Drosophila melanogaster: one gene and its partner. The protein of the gene in region 1 interacts with the protein of each later gene in a pairwise test. Each region holds a gene or a part of one and is shown on either strand. Other genes may lie near its edges.

Evidence for each region. Proteins that work in one complex are often made in the same cells at the same time.
Region 2: the proteins of Zasp67 (region 1) and Indy interact in a two-hybrid assay, tested with the Drosophila melanogaster proteins (one large-scale study listed by BioGRID).

What each region holds. Positions count from the first base shown.
Region 1 is NT_037436.4:9,792,939-9,801,764, reverse strand, and holds the start of Zasp67 (Z band alternatively spliced PDZ-motif protein 67), read left to right. Parts: upstream 1-4,077; 5' UTR 4,078-4,238; coding exon 4,239-4,337; intron 4,338-7,002; coding exon 7,003-7,154; intron 7,155-7,761; coding exon 7,762-8,238; intron 8,239-8,350; coding exon 8,351-8,600; intron 8,601-8,826. Other genes in the region: Ilp3 (Insulin-like peptide 3), read left to right, coding at 1-150; Ilp2 (Insulin-like peptide 2), read right to left, coding at 1,515-1,765, 1,839-2,001; CG32052 (uncharacterized protein), read right to left, coding at 2,519-2,594; Ilp1 (Insulin-like peptide 1), read right to left, coding at 2,867-3,331.
Region 2 is NT_037436.4:18,841,946-18,850,969, reverse strand, and holds the start of Indy (I'm not dead yet), read left to right. Parts: upstream 1-4,702; 5' UTR 4,703-4,910; coding exon 4,911-4,934; intron 4,935-8,183; exon of another isoform or gene 8,184-8,624; intron 8,625-8,703; exon of another isoform or gene 8,704-8,756; intron 8,757-8,821; exon of another isoform or gene 8,822-9,024. UniProt on the Drosophila melanogaster protein: Cation-independent electroneutral transporter (not associated with membrane depolarization) of a variety of tricarboxylic and dicarboxylic acid-cycle intermediates. There is also small, but detectable, transport of monocarboxylics.

The DNA of each region.
Region 1 (8,826 bases):
CGTTCCCTGCTGGAAAGACTGTTGAGTGATAGTTCGGTTCAGATGCTCAAGACTCGACGTCTTCGGGATGGAGTCTTCGACGAGTGTTGCCTGAAGTCGTGCACCATGGATGAGGTGCTGAGATATTGTGCTGCCAAGCCGAGAACGTAAACCTCGTAAACCTATTAACCCAATGACGACAACTGCGATGATTGAAATGGAATGAAAGGACCCGATTGGGGAAAGCACTCACGTAATCATAGTTGTTAAGTCGTTATCGAAGCCTACTCAATTCCAACTTTGGATTTATGATATATATGCACATGTAAGAGGGATGTATGCGCATAATTTATGATCTGAAATCAGAGACAGGCACGCGAAATGAATCGGAACACGGGATGTTATGCATGGTAGATATGTATGATTGTGCGGGGCCAGAATACATCGCCTGGGTATAAATTATTAAATAAATTATGTATTCAAACTGCTGCAGATTGGCCAACTTGATTGGTAATGAAACGGGTATTACATTGATTTTTCATTGTCGTTCATTGCAGTTAATTATTTATTGAACAGCGGCCGGATTTCTGTTTGCAACTATGTTGAAAAGGAAGCTGTGATTTTTTAACAAACTCTGTTCATTGTAAAGTTTAAAATCATTCCAATTTAATGCCCTCAAAACCTACGCTGAAATGGTCAGTTTTAAAACGATATTTATTAATATTTTAGTTAATTTACTAAGATTATCCGTTTTGCACTTTTAATGCCTTGCATTTGGTAATGCGTGATTGTTATTTAAGGTCTGCATGAATTTAGTTGATTCCGTTTATTTTAGCTTTCAAAATGTAATAATCTTCTAATTTACAACTACACAGAACGATTAAATTATGAGTATTGCTATAAAATCGGCCAACCGCGACTAGAAATACTCGACTTTTAAGGTCAACATAAAAGTAAGTCAATGTTTTGATTATAAGATTTGATCAATTACTTCTTTACGGATGATATAATCATCGATAAACGAAGTACGAAAAAAGCTATGAACTAAAATTTGGAAATTTCCCACATGCGACTAACTTTTGAATTGCAATTGGATTGCCTACTGTATTAAGACAGAAACAAGTTTTGGAAATGAATGAATGGTTTAAATTGTTTCAAGTTTTTTTAAGATTTTTTTTGTTTTCAATAAATTTAGTTTTAATAGAAAAAAAGATATATTCATTTTAGATTTCTGAATACTTGTGTTATATCGCTTTTTATTCAAGTGTAATAATCAACATATATATCATATAATGATAATAATAAATGTAACGTCCCAAATTAATAATAATATAAAGTAGCATTTGCGATTGTTTGCCAAAGCTTAAAGCAGAATATATATTTAATCCATTTCGATCATTCGTAAAGAGTAACATGCAACAAGCTGTAAAAAACATCGATTGTAGTATATATGCACATGGTTGGTTTGGAACCAGATCCAGAGATAATCGCGTCGACCAGGTCAGTTGGGGTCAATGATTTTCGCATTAGGAGGCCTAATTTCTGACCACGGAGCAGTACTCCCGCAGAGCCTTCATATCACAGGACTTTTTGCAGCACCTCTCCACGATTCCTTGCCGTTGGCGAGTTCGCCTCCGGACTTCAGCCAGGGAATTGAGTACACCCCCAAGATAGCTCCCAGGAAAGAGGGCACTTCGCAGCGGTTCCGATATCGAGTTATCCTCCTCCTCGAACTCCTGGACAAACTGCAGGGGATTGAGGGCGTCCAGATCGCTGTCGGCACCGGCTAATAAAAATCGTGGATACAATGTAGATCTAGCAAAGCCAGCTTGAGGATCTGCATCCTTGTAAGAACTTACGCATGGCGCGCTTGTGTGGAATCACGGGATTATACTCCTCGCACACCATACTCAGCACCTCGTTGAGCTTTTCACTGCAGAGCGTTCCTTGGGCCAACTTCACTGTGGAGCTGGCCAGCAAAATCACGGCCACCATCGAGATGAAGGACAAAGGCTTGCTCATGGTTATGGGTTTACTGCTTAGGTTGCTTTACGATCAAATGGATTAAGTTGGGTCGAGCCGGGTCGAAAGCTAACTGATGATGTTTGGCCCAAAGTAACTGGCTTATATACTGCCTCGTAAGAAACTTAAACTGGGTCTGGGTCGGGGTCGGTCTCTCGGGGTCGGGGTCTGGATCCACACACATGTTATCCTCAAAAGTCAGGTTGTCAAATTGTGTTAGGATGCGATGAGTGCATTCCGGAGTTGGCTCTTCTCTCTAACGCCTGGCTAAACTCATTCAATGTCAAAGCTGACTTATGCAAATGGCTATTGGAAAATTGTGGGTGGTTTTTGGGTGGCTGTGTTTGGGAGAAGAAGGGCTTTGTGGGCGTTTTGCTGTCAGCCAATTAAACAATTTATGTATAAACAGCCAGGCCGTACTAAGCCCTGCATTTATGAATACCAAATAAGTCCTTGGTCTTAAAGTTACCTCGCCTTTACAGCCCGTTTGCCTCTACCATTTCTACCCTATACTTACCAATCCGCGCCTGGGCGCCCGGCAGGCCGGAGTAGGCCAACAAGAACCCGAGCCAGCTGATTGGAGCCAGCAGCATCCTGGCAACGAATTACGCCTCCTTGGTACTTTTCCTTTGACTGTCTTGTCTTTGCCGCTCACACAAATTCTTCTTTTTGCACTGTCTACTTTTATTCATTAGTCAAAGTTGGTGCTGCATAAATAAGTGATTACGAATTGGATTACGAATGCTGTTAGGAGAACGGGTGTACATATAGTATGTATGTGGGAATGCCATGTTCAAGTGTTCGTATGTATGTATGTATGTGTATGCATGCTGGGTAATGAATGTGTGTGTGTTGGCCAAGTGTCCTATTTCGGTAGACAGTAGATGGCTAACTCCAAGTAGCTGCAGGTCTTGACGCAGCACTCGTCGTAGACGCCACCGGTCAGGTGTCTCCTGTGGCGACGCATCTTGATCAGGACCTCGGATCCGTACAGATTGGTTAGCAGTGGACTAAAAGAGTATCCTGCCCCGTCCAGTGTCTGCCACATGCTGCTATCATCCTGCACCTCCTGCTCCGTGTCCTCGTCGTCGTCGCTGTTGCCCAGCAAGCTTTCACGTTTCCTTGGCAGCGTATTAAAGCCATGGGGACACACCACATCCATGGCATCGGACAGTGCGGGGCCGCAGAGTTTGTGGTTTCCGGGGGGCAGCAACTGGTGACCACTGCCAGTCGGCGTGACCATTGCCATTGCAGCGGTGAGCATGGCTGCGATGAGCAGCGACTGGAGCCGAAGGCCATGTACTGCTGCACCGTTGTGCTGGCTAAACATCTTGGATATGCAGTGAATGCTCTGGGCTGCAACTGGTATTTATACCACTAAATCGGAAGCGCTAGCTAATGCAGTTCAATGGCCTCTTCTGCAGTCTAGCATTGCAGTGGCATAGCAAGCCCCACGGGCGTACAAACTGCAAATCCTTTGATCACCCATGTTTCAGGTACCGTTTTTCCCCTAAAAATGCAAACTCTATTTCTAGCTCTACTCCCCAATTTGGATGGAAAAGCGATGCACTGTTGTTTTGGTAGTTGGGGTATTGTATTGTATTTCTTAGCAAATATCAGTTGTATCATTACCTATATCTATCTATACCAATAGTTTGGAATGTATTTGTAAGACATTTTTAAGATATTCAGAAGAGTTAGCCTTATGGGACTTGCTCTAAAGTGTGAATTGATGCACACAGCTTTATCGAGCATAGTTTTCAGTGTAATCACCGCCAAAAAATCCGCCCACTTCAAAGCATAACCCGTTCGCCCAACCTGTTACATTGCCGCTAAGAGGCTCTGACTGCTGTCGATTGCGATTACGATTACGACCAGATATCTGTGGGGCATGGGGATAAGGGGTATGTGGGCCGATGGCTGACAGTGTGGCAGCCTCATTAGCATGTCGTGGCCAGGAGGAAAGTATGCTTCGATGAAGCTCCTCCGGCGGCAGTGTGCGAAATCGCTTCGATCACCATCATCGCCATCGCCATGGCCACTCGATTGTCGAGTTGCACGCACGGCGATGCCAACAGTTGGTTGCCAGCGCTGCACTCGAAACACTCGCTTCTTCCCACCGACCGCAAAGTGCCGGAAAAGCTAGAAAAAAAGCAAAAAAAAAAGTGGAAGAAAATTCGCGATAGAAAACGGAAAAATCGAAACGAACAAAAAAAGTCGGAATAAATCAAGGAAACATGGTGCTCGACATTAAGATGTGCCGATTTGATAATGTGCCCTGGGGCTTTCGCCTGGTGGGCGGGGCGGACTACGATTATCCGCTGACGGTGGTTAAGGTTAGGCCCGATTCGAAAAAAGAACGAAATCTATATGCTGCAACCCCCACCCCCCCACGCATCACCTCAGCCCATTCACCTGGCGGATGTTCATAGACCAGTGGAAAATATTGCTCACTATGCAGCTGATGAATCACATTGGATTAATTCGATACGATACGTTCGAATCAGTTTTATTTGTTCGATTGCAATATTACGTAACGCCGCGATGCGTGTGTGTCCATTCGGATTTGCTGCATTGGCAAATTAGTTAATTAAAGTAATTCCTCTCGCTTTTGTTTATCTAATCGACAGGGCCATACATTTCCCGCTAATGAGCCGCATAATGGCAGCGGCAATAAACTTATTCAAATTTTAATTGTGTTTCGCTGGCAGTTGGTCCTTTGTTTGTGCATAAATTGCATTTGGCAATTCGCATTTTGTAACATTGTGTTGACAATTCGCAACCAGCAACAATAACAAAAATACAATACATACAATACTATAGCATCGTCGTAAATCCGAAACAAATGCGATTTTTAATTGGCAAACTGCTAAGCGCATAAAACAAATGACCGAAATGCGAGGGGCGCTAAAAAATCCCATCCCTTCGATACGAATAAATCAATTTAAGCCGCAGAGTCAAGGAAGGGAGGTCATAAATTGTTTTTGACTTTTTGGTTATTTTTTTTTTACCGTTTTACATAAACAAATTATGCTATGGGTTATTTTAAATTCCGATCAATTTATAAAATGTTTGTGCTTTGGGATATGCATACCATGAAAAAATGGAAGTTTATTGTAAATGAATTATTAACTTCACAAGCTGGCTGATAGAGAAAAAACTGAAAAATGTCCGGAATGTTCTTCATTCCAATGAACTCCCTAAATTAACTTAGCTAATTTATTCCTTATACTAATACTCCGCTTTTAAGAATTCCTTACTACATGTTAGAGACTCAAAAAGCACATCCTTCGACTCGAGTCCATATTACTTTATGGAATGTGCCAACACACCTTCACATATTGGCTCTGCAAACACTAAACAATCCTTGGTAATCTTTTGAAAAACCTCTGTTTACACTACCACTCTTCGTCATGCTGCTCGCCACATACAGTCTGGTACATAGATGTATGGCCCAGCTAAGCCCAAAGCCTTTGTTCTATAAATATTCGCAACCTCCGACGATGTCGAGTGCTTTTTGCTCTGCGAATTCACCGCTGGAAATTGACTCTACCATAAGTGAAATGCAAGAGACCCCTGGGACTGAAAGGAAAGACCCTCAACTTGGTTGGGTGAAATGGTGGAGTCTCCAACCCTCCACCTGCTCCTTGTGCCAACCACTTTTTTTTTTTTGCAGTATTTGCATTACTAAGTCCTCTTGGCAGTCGGTGTCGTGACTTTCTGGTTATGAACCCTGCTTTCTCATAACGGAAACGAAAACAATCGCGTTTATTTGCCCACGAAAGTGTTACAAAACTGCCTGAATTATGCAATAGAATTCTTTGAACAGAGTGCTAAGATATTTCGCATTTTGAAGGCGAAACATAATTCATCCATAACTATTAGTTTGATGAATTCTCACTTCGTATGCTGGCAATTTTGAAGGCCGAAGTGGCAAAACCATTTTAAATGAATTCCTACAATTTATATGCTCAATTTGCGCCAATTTGTCTGTACTTTATTACCCACAAAAGCCATAAAGCTTATATTGTATTTAGTTGTTATTGTTCTCGCAACATTTTCACTTTGATTTATAGTTGCGAAAATAAATGTTGGCAAATGCAAATTTTTGAAACGATATTCTCTTACACGGTCATTTGGTACCATTTCCGGAATATACATTTACCAATTTTCCAAAAAAAGAGCCATAAATTGTATTATCCAATTAAAACGATTAGTCCAGTGGGTTTTTATTTCTAAAAATTTAATTTTGTAATTAGAGAAAACTATTGTGAACTTTGGATGACCTAGAAAGTTTCATTAGTTGTACATTATTTTTTACCCCCGCTTTAAAATTGCAGAACTTCTGTAAAAAAAAGCTTTTACAAGCTATTTAAATATTAGTGGTAGAGTTGTTTGAACATTTATCTTTTTGGAATCAGCAATATTTGGTTCTCTATCCTTACAAATTAATCTTCTCTTTAAGTGAACTCATAACTTTGTATATATGTACGTATGTAGAATCATCCTTCAACTCAAACATTTCCATCCGGCGAAACAATGCAATATTTGAGTGGTTAGACATGGGTAATTCCACTTGACTCGCTTAACTGAAGTGTCGTTAATGAGCTGCCACTTCTACTCGAGCACCCCTCGTTCTGAGCCCCCAGCCCCCACAGATCCTCTGTAGCCCCCCCATCTCCTTGGGCATTGTCTTCGGTTCTGTTGGGTTTGTGCGTGATTGTATGATTGTCTGTTCGGGGGTCTGGGTCTGCTGGTCTTTGTTTTGTTGACATTTGGCGCGCGTTTTATTTTTATGCACTTAGCACGCGACGTCGCCGTTGTCGGCTAATAGAAATTTCCCCATTATCGCATCGCATCCCATTGTATTGTATCTCGGCTATCTCGACTATCTCGGCCTCGCACTCATTCTATCGCCACATTCCCATATCCGCATCTGAATCGGGCGATATCTAGGCATTCCCATCTAGATCTAAACATGTCCATATGCTTCAACGTTAGGTGACCGAGGGCAGCATTGCTGACGAGGCTGGACTGCGGGTCGAGGATATCATCGTGCGCATCAATGACACGGCTGCCACGCCCCTTACCCACGACGAGGCCCACCGCCTCATTATGGGCAGTGGAAGCGTCTTCTATTTTGGCGTCTACCGGTGAGCTTTCCCATCCTTCTATTCCATACCATTCCGTTTCGTTCTCTTACTGCTCGTGGTCGTGGTCCTCGTCCTTGTCCGGTTCCTTTACTACTACTCTTTGTATCCCATCCACCGAGGACCATTTATCACAGCTGAGCGGGCTAACAACCCAAGAACGTTTCCTCATGCCCCTGCTCAAGGTAATCTACTTGTTCAAGAAATTCACAAACCACAAACGACCTCGAGAGAAATGGAAAAAATATGACAAATTTTCGTGATTTAAGAATAAAGTTCTGGAAAAATAAAGCGCTTTCTTAAAAAGTTGTCTGGGTAAAATGACATTTGGTTAATATATCATAATAGTTAATTTTATTATAATTATAAACTAAGAAAAGTTAAATTCAAAAACCCACCTAGCCCCATTAGTTTTGAAAATTACCCTACCATTTTAGAAGCAATTTATATTATTTGAATTAAGTTTGTATTTCAACTTTTTCGGGTTATGAATAATTATTCTTAGAGTGTCCCCGAAACCAGGGCTCCATCTCAGGTATTCCACGTTACGGAATTAATTCTAATGTTCATAAATTCTGCTCACTTTTTGGTCACTTGGATCCATGTGCAGGGAGAACGAGGAGGACGCTTACGAGTGCCTAAAGAAGTTTCCCACGAGCGAGGGTTCGTTGACCAAGTCACCAATGCCGACCATTTCACCGTCGCCGACTCCATCGCTGTCCCAGCTGACGGAAACCACAAATGCCCGTACTCCGGAACCGGAGCCATTCGTTCCGCTACCCCGGGAACTCGCTGCTGCGACTATGGCGGCTCCTGCTGTGGAAGTGGACGTGGATGTCCTGGCGGAATGTCGCCAACCCATGTCGGAAGTGCATTCGGAAGAGAAACGAGGGGATGTGAATGGGCATGATGCACCAGGCCAGGCAGATGAAGGAGGCCTTCCCGTCGAGAATCTCTACTTGCCCGATTTACCCGATCGTCCGTGCTCGGCGCTGTCCGAAAGGCAGGAAATTAAGCTGGTGGAGGAGGAAATTGCAGCCGTGCTGTCCGGCGAGTCGGAGGTGCTCAAGGAGCACAATGTCCTTGGGTGCGTACTATTCAATTTAAACCCATTTCTCCCGCCAGTTCCCTCCTTGACTACTTCCCCATTTGTTGGCATGCTATGCGGGCGAGTTCTTTTAACCACTTCCATATGATAGCGTCAATTTCTATAGGATCTTCCCAAAGCCGGGCGTCTGCATGTCCAGCGACGTACTGCGCTCCCTCAACGAGGAGGTGACCAAGACCAAGCTGGAGAAGGACAAGGAGAACCGTCAATGGTCCACTTTCCTGCAGCGTCCCAATCGCCCCGTTCCCAAGAGCAAGCAATCCCTGGAGGCGGAACGACGGGCGGCCAATGCCTACAAGGTGACGATTGTTAAGTCGGCGCCACGGGAAAAGTCGCCAATGGTGAGTGAGTGAATGCACTCAGAGGAAAGCTGCACGAAATTTGAGAATATTAACCCAAGAAGCTTGTGCACAAAACAAAACTTTAAGATTAAGATGCAAAAGTGATGAGATGTGTTAATTTTTAAGAAAAAGTTCCTTAATCTTAAATCGTAGATTCTTGGGTTAAATTTTCTCTCAGTGCATTATTTGCTGACCAAGATCAAAAGTTAATTTGTGTTTACGTGTG
Region 2 (9,024 bases), 9.0 Mb from region 1:
ATTTGGTCCCTTCTTTTGTCAACCTTAAAAAAAAAGGTAAAAAGAAGCCAAACGACCCTGACAAATGTGATCGCAAGATGCGCAACTAATTTGAGACTCCGAAGGAGGGACAAATGAATTGGGAGCAGGGATAACAACCCCTAATTTGCATGGAATCCTTAAGATGCCAGGAAAAACCCATATATCATCTGCTGCTCCATATAGACTGTCACTCAATCAAGCAATTTTTCCATTTCTCCGGCCAGAGTGCATTAAGTTCAGATTTCGTTTTCCCGATCATTGCACAATCACGCTCCTCATCTAGCCTTTTTGCACAGTGAACCCGAGCCCAAATAGGTCTCGGTTTTCTATAGATTTTTTTTGCTTATTTTTTGCTTTTTTAATTGCAAACGAGGGGAGGGTTAGCGAAAACTGTAAAAAAATGGTTAGGGTTTTTTCGGGCAAAACTAGAAAATATTTGCACGCATATCACGGCAATTACTTACGGTTTTTTGAACACTTCCCTTACTTTTTGTTTTTTTTTTTTTTTCATTTCGCTGATGAAAAAAGGGGCTTTGAGTGGGAAAAGAATCTTAAATATGTATCTCTTCGGTGCCATATTATCTTAAACTCTGCGTAAGGAAATATAGCCACTTTCATGTGGATCTGGGTAAGCCCGCAGCAAAGTTTTCCCTTCATTGATCTCTAACACCTACGCTTCGATCGAAGTCGAAAATCGAGTGGTTTCCCATCAAGTGGCGATCAACAAACAGCGATTTACAAAACCGAAAAAACCCAGAGCAGCTGCGCAAAAAAAAAAGGAATCATTCAACCCGCTGCTAAAAAAAAAAAAAAAATCTCGCCGAGGACAAAACAAAAACAAATGCTAGACGGCCCAAAAAACGAAAGGGGGAAATTCAATGCCGTGAAAAGGGTAGGCGAAGAGAGAGAAGGAGAGAGGGTTTCTGATCCGGAGTCCTTCTCTGGAGTTCGTTATCCTGGCCCGAAATCGTCGAAAGGGGCAGGCACAAAGCAGCATCGTCGCAATCAACGTCTGACAGCTCGGCGCGCAACTGCAGCGTCAGTTTGGTATGGTATGGAATATGGGATAGTTATTAATATTATAGGGTTGCGATTTGGGGTTTACGGGAAGTTGCCTCTAACCGCTCGGAAAACTGCAATGGGTGTTAACGGTCGCTGCGGCTGCGCTGATCCCCGATGCCAGCTTGCTCATCATGATCATTATCATGATCATAATGACGACGATGACGCGGCAGAAGAAGTCTGATCTCGTTGAAATCAAAATAATGAAATTTACTTCCGCTTTGTTCTTCCTCCCTTCAATGAAATTTAATATGGCCTGTTAATGATATTTTCACAATTTGTACTCCTGCTTCTGATCGTAATTGGTTGGCGGGGGCGTCGCCGTTGATTACCAATTCAAGGATCTCGTTCCTTTGACCAAATACTTCTTGCCAGCTAATTAACAAAATTAAAGTTACTTCCGTATCGTCAATGAACATGGTGCGTCGATATTATGACTATCCTTATAGTTTTGTTAACCATCATATGGCATCCATGCTACATTTAAAAAATAAAACTCATAACGGAGAAAAACTTTAAGCTTTTTACGTTTGTTTTTTATCATGACATTTATATCATTTATCTTATATAAAGAAAAAAGAAACCGAAATGAACGTCTTCAAATGAGCTGAAAAGATTCCAATCTAATTTTAGAAAAGTATAATAATTGATGGTAATTGTCCAGTAATTTTCGAAATCAAAAGAGCTTACTCACCTTCTTAGAAAACTTATCGATAAAATTGCAAACAGAGATTAAGATGAAAAACAAGGTGTCCAACAGAAGTAAGTTTCCAATTGGTGATTTCATTGACCGACTTGATTGTGTTTATATATGAATTAAACCAACAAATAAAAAAAAATATTTTAAAAATCGTTAAAATGTCCTTGAGTACGCTGTGATCTCGGAATAGTTAAGATTAAGTATGCAGATCCTCGCGACGTCGACGCCGTTCATGCTTCAGAGCATTGCCACGCCCACTTGGCGCCAAAAACCACTAATCAGGCAATTTTTAAAAACATTTTGATTATTTGAATTTTATGTTACTTCATCTCTATTGATATGCCAAAAAACATTATGGGTAGATTACGCCCACAATTTTCAACAAGCTGTTGAATTTCGATATTTTATATGTTTTTTTCCAATTTCTAACGATATTCACAAAACAATTTTAAAATTTCAACTGTGCATTCCCACTCGCTAAGCAATGGATACCTTTTTTTAATTAATTTTTATTAGCACGAAGATTCTATGTAAAGCACCATCTGTCGGCAGGCGACAGAACTTGATCAGCTCTTTCTAAGTTCACAACCCCACGATACAATGCTCGGGTTCATGTCAAATTACACGTAAGTAAAAACGTGCTGGCGAATTTAAGCGAGGCGAACTGATTTTGCGAGCGAAAAAGAAAGAGAGCGAATTCGGCGAAAATACGCAATAAAGTGACTAAAAGTACTTAAATATTAAAAATTTTCGTAAAGGTATTAGCTAAAATTTTTATATTTTTTTATTTATTTGTACACTGTAGACAAAAGTTTTAAAGTTATGATTCATGATAGTTAATGTAAAGATACGCTATAGCTGTTGGGGTTTTCAGCCAGCCTTTAATATTTACTATTTAATATTTAAGTATTAGGTTACAACATTACTTACAATTATTTACAATATATTTAAAGGGATTAATAATTGGGGATTACGAAAAATTGTTTACAGTAAATGGATTATATTGGCTTTTTTCAGAAATTTGGATGTGGGGGTTTTTAAGATGTCTATAAGTTTTGAATTCGTGTTGCTGGATCTAAGGGGACTGAAGGGCGATGAAATCGTTTAGGATGCAGGGTATTAGGAAATGTAGGAAATCGGGGTCAATATTGCAGACACAGCATTCGCTGTAGATTGGCTGGAAGAATCGGAGCTCATTATACTAGATTTAAAAAGTATGTAACAGGCAGAAGGAAGCGTTTCGCACTATATAAAGTATATATATTCCTGATCAGGATCAATAGCCGAGTCGATCTACCCATGTCCGCCTGTCCGTATGAACGTCGAGATCTCAGATCGCAGAAGTTTTAGTTGCACTGGCATCAGACTAGGAATGCGGAAAAAAATGAAAGATTTCGTTTTCCCCATTACAATTGATCCTGATTCTGCCAAGAATTAATCACAAATTAACAGTGATAGTTTAGGTAAAGATTTGAGTTTAGACACATGATTCATGCACTCAGAATGTATTTCTTCAGGTACCACGGCGTGCAAAAAAAATATCTAGCATAAACACGCTTTATGCCATCGAAAATTTCGATCGGAAGTGATCAGAGAAGTGAGAAAGTAAGAGCAAGAGAAAAGTAAGGCAACTTAATTTTTTTTCAATAAGACTGTATCTTCTTTAAAGTCAGTTTGTATTCTTTATATTTGAAAACATTAAAATTTTTCAACTTATGGATTTTTATTAGGAAGACCATCATAATTTATTCAAATCCTGAAGAGAGGAGTGAAAAAAGGAAAAGTAAGACAGACATTCAAAACTAGAGGAGCTCGAGTTCCTATAATATAAGACATTTAAAATTCGTTGGAAATATAGAAACATAGTGGCAATAAAGATAACAATATAAAATAAATCAAAACATTTCTAAATGTGTGGTGGCTATTTTTCGTTACTTAAAACTGCATTCTTTAACTTCCATACGGAGTAATGCTGGGGTCGTTTTGAATTATATCATATATTTTATAGCCAGACTCAGTATATCTCCTGGTCCTGGCAGATCACCGGAACCCACTTCTCATCAGTGAAAATGACAGGTAAGATCGACTTTTTAAGCTATTTTTGCACTTTGATATAAAAAGAAATTTAATTTCAGACAACCACAAAACGCTGAAGGAACATCAACATACACCCTTTGCCAGCTGAGTGTTCCGTTTTGAGTCTTTGGAAAAGGCTTTTCATACTCACATATTAAAATTCATCAACATGGGCATGAGTCGCTGACTTATGCTAAATAGAACAGTCTGTATCGACAACATAATCCTAAATTAATGAAATGCCAAGTTACACCGGTCTCGAAAAATGCATTAGCAATTTGCACGGTGAGTCAAAGAGACTATAGGAACTACAAAGCATATTCAAACAACATTTAATTAAATTTCAAGGCCAGAGTATGTATATATCGCGTTGTTCTACATTTGACAAACGTAAAATAAATTTCAATTACATGCGGAGTATACCAAAAATTGTTTGAAAAGGGTTTTTGACTGCCTGTTAAAATTACAAAGTATCAAAGTATTAACATGGCTTAAATAAAGAGCACTTTTAAAAATATTTATATAAAAATATTAAAGTAACCCTTCCGAATATTTTAATTTACCATAAAGGTCAACTAGGTAAAAAATACTTTAAGTGTACGAACGATATGTAGATATACCTGTGTAGAATATAGTAAATACGCCCCTACAAAGAAGCATGCACAGCAAAAACAAGTTTAAATGTGTCTCTTAGCGTATTAAAGTATTTGTATTTGCCCACAGAGACAACGACAACTTATCAGATATTTTCCATGTCCAGGGCTTAAAAGAGAGAGAGAGCGAGTGAGAGAGAGAGAGAGAGGAGAATGCGAAAGAAAATCGTTTGGGTTTGGTTTTGAGTTTTGGTAGCATTCGCATATTAGTCGTCGAACGCAAAGCAACATATTCATAAAAAGTGGTCTAGCCAACGAATATATATATATATATATGTTATTTTTCGGCGCGGTGGTGGAAATTATGAAATAATCGCTTACGGTTGTGCTGAAAGAGAAACGGCGTGATCAATTCTTCAGATATACCAATAGTATCTATACCATATAGATCCCCAACCATGGCGACCGAAACTACAAAAATGGTAAGTTTGATTTTGAGAAAGCGGTAATTACTTGTGATTAGGCAGGTGATTAGTGATAAGTGGTTTGCAGCTAGAAATTTGGGAACGTGGCGGCATTTCGTCTTTTCCGGTTAATTGCTTTTCGTTGACCTTGAGAACCTGCCTTAATGCCCGGCAAGCCCCTAGGACTTTTCGCGACGAACTGTTAAGATCCGACTGAAAACCTGGTTTCGAGTTTGAGTAGCGCGTGGCAATCGGGTTAGGTAAGAGAGTGTTATGTAAACAAAGTCCAAAACCAAGTGTTTTATCAATTTTAAAATGATTTTGAGATCACATGTGCTGCTATTGTGCTCCTTAGCCGAAGTGCTTCTGTTCCCGACTTTGGAGATATATTCCACTCCCTAGAAAATAAGTACTTATATAAAAACACTTCCAATCATTTTGCTCTCTTATTGAGCAGCTTGTTTGAGTGCTCAATCTATAAAGTGTCGTCATACTGTTTACACACCCACTTAACAACCCATGACCAGTTTTTTATTATTCTGCTGGTATGATATCTCCATTTCCCCATCTGTTATCTAACTGAAGCAGCGCACTTTTGTGCAAATCTTCGGAAGTGACACCGCTTTCTTCCCCCACATTCTCCCCATATGTATTATATGTATTATATGTATGCATTATCTCTCTCGTGTGTGGACAACCACCTGACCGAAAAACTGAATGACGACACCGAAAGATAACAATATGTACAAAATTATTCAGATTCAGCAAAATAATTAGCATGCCCCAGGTTTCTCAAGGCAATTAGTGGAAAGGCTTAAAAGCGCTTAACTTTTTTAAGAATCCGTCACAATTCGTCTTTTTATTGAAGAGCAGAGTTATAAACGTGTGATAACGTTGATTCTGGAATTTCCAGAAGCGCGAGGATTGCAAACAGACTTTATGGAACCTAGAAAGTGCAGAGAATATTTAGACAGAAGCTGCTTGAAATGATCAGGCGAGGAATTTCGTTGTAGATTTATAGATATTATAATTATTGTTATTCACTATTTATTGTTGGCACCTCTATCTGATTAATAGACCCAGCGTAAAATAGTAAAACCCTGTTTCAGTAATGAATGAAATGGAACTAGATAAAGCTGATAAATTCATTATGCGTTTTGTTTCACAAATGTCACCCCATTTTTCAAAACAGAGAGTCCAACGATCATTTGAGTACTATGCATTTGAAGTTCAAATTCCAAAAGCAGATGAATGTCTGCATTAGAATTCAAAGTACTTTACGTATATTTTTAGAATCGCCTAGCACTTTGGCTCTCGAACAAATGTTTACTCACATTTTGGCTTATAATCTCCATATTACCTTGAAGAAAATACATCTTTTTTTGTGGGCCCCGCCCCCACACGTGACATGGAATGACGCAAAAGGAAAAACAATTGCAGACGCAGATCTGAAATGTTTATTTCGATATATTCTTTCGTATAATACGCGCAAAATGTGTCTGAACTTAGCATGGGGATTTATTTTGCGGCATTACCTAATGGGACCAATGAATATGATTCTTATTTGATATTCCGACTATTCTATATTATTTATTTAATTGTGTTTCAAAGTGATTAAATGTGGGTCAAACTCAATCTCTGAGCCTTGGTTTTCGGTTTGTTTTGTTTGGCGAACAAAAAAACAAGTTGCAAAAATCTTGAGCTGAAATTTATTGACCGGTGCTAAACTGGTTTTGCTTTTCGAGCACAGGGGGTTTCCTAAGTGAGAGCCTCTAGAGAAGATCTGTTTAATGTTTCAACTTCAACTTGCACGCTTCTCGTTTGAGTGGCCAACAAATTGCTGATCGAAGTCGATTGGAAACGGCTTGAAATCCTGAATTCTTACGATGGTCTTAATAATAGCAGGTAGGGAATTTTCACAACAAAGCACTTGAATAACTTAGCCCTTTTGTAAGTTAATTGCCAGTAATTACAAATAACTAACAACTGTTTCAATAAAATGTAGTGCGAGTTGTTCAAGAACACTGCTTACCAATAATAAAGGGTATTTACCTTATTTGCAGTACATTTCTTACGATTTAAGTATGTATGTTGTTAGCACACATTTAGTGGGTCGGTTTCTTCTACATACATATGTACATATATTTTACTTAACTTCGTGTACACTAATTTATTCGTTGCATTTCATTGTCGCCTTCCGTTCGGTTCAATTAAATTACAGCTCAATGCAATAAAATGATCTCACTTGATCAACTTGCTGCGAAAAAAAAACTTTCCACATATGTTTCTACACACATAAGATACATTTATGATTCATATAGCATTTTCTTGCTTAAACAGCAAGATCAAAGAAAATAATGTGTTGTCAAGCACGGCGCCTCTGAAATAAATCTGATACAATTATCTCCTCTCTGGCGAAATTTAATATGAGTGAAATTTGTTCTGGCAAGTTTCTTAAAGTTGTCGTATTGATTCCCGAATGTTCGATGCACGTAGGTTCCCTAACCGAATCGTCCTCGTTCTCAATTGAATCGATCCAATCAACAATTTATGGCCATTTCCTATGCGACTTTGAAATTTGTTCGTATTGATTTTTACAAAGTGTGTTGGTCTGCAATTATTTCTATGTCATAGAAGCCTACAAATCCGCCGTGGTAAAACTGTTTTTTTCTCTAATTCTGTTATAATTGTATCTAAGCGAAATATTATATATTTTTTTTAGTCAGTGTTACTTTCGTAACAATCTATTTTCCTAGTACATTGCATGTTCAGTCCTTGACAACACCTATTTGAATTTGAAGTTGGAATTCTAAAAATAGAATTTATTTCACCACCCGCGATGATTAAAGAACGTCTAAGTATCTCAACCACTATCTTAACAGGCCACGCTTATTTTTATCAGTTTTTAGTGGAAAACCCATATGTGGAGCATGCCAAATGCAGATGATAGAACATTTACACGCGGCATGCACAGGAAAAGCTTCAAGTCCATTCCATGCCAGCAATCGATGACGATGACAGTGGCAACCACTTGTCACATTCATATCTTTTGCACTTGATGTAAGCAACTAAAACTTGAACAGGCAAACGAGTTTCACGCCGAGATTGACTTGACGACTTGTCGAGTGGTTCCAGTGGATTCTGGACCTCATGCCCACTTTCACCCAGCGAGTGCATGTCCCTCGCCATCGAGAAAGTTTCACTTCAATTACCCAGCTTACATGGGCCTTAACTCATTAAAGCGTAAACGGTGAAGAAGATATTCCTGATGCTTAAGTCATTATACTTATATGGAAAATGAATGATTAAATTTCATTAAAGTAAAGTATGTCTGAACATAAGGTACGATCCTTAATTAACTATTGTACAACTACTTTCTGGCTTAGTTTCTAATTGTTTAGCTTTTTCTTTATGTCATTAAAGAAATACATATGTAATAGATCAACAAAAACATGGACTTAAACACTGATGATACCATTAAATGCCGATTAATGTATTTATGTACATATGTTCTAAGAATAAATAAGGGCATAGTATTGGGTACTGTGTCAGTAATTTCAAATTCCTGTAGTCTTTGTGATCAGCAACAGGTGGCCTGCCGTTATTACCTTCAGGTGTCGCCTGGCTAACGTGGCTGAAATATGTAACAGGTTGCCAGTTTGGTCTAAATGGCACAGCAGTTCCCGTTTTCACGGTACACCGTCTCCTCTCGAAAATGGAAAAAGAAAGTGCTCAATTGAAATAACCAGCTGCACTTAATTGATTACACCAAGCCAATGTTAATTACCATATTCCTTAAGATTTTTTAAGTTCCGTGCACCACAGTTGAGTTTAATAGGTCTGAAAAGTGATAGTGTGTTAATAGAAATTTCTTTAAGAAATAAAAACAAATTGCAAATACTTACCGTTTAATTGGGATGAATCTTAGTCATCAAATCGGCTGCCACTTCGAAACAGCGCACTTCAGCATGGTGATGTTTGCTTGGTTAATGGACCTTAACATCAAGGTGCACTTCCTGCACTGGTGCCTGCTCCTCCTTTACGACCAAGCCGATATAACGGTTCCACCATCCGTATCGTGGGTCTGGAGTCCAGATCCGAGTCCTTA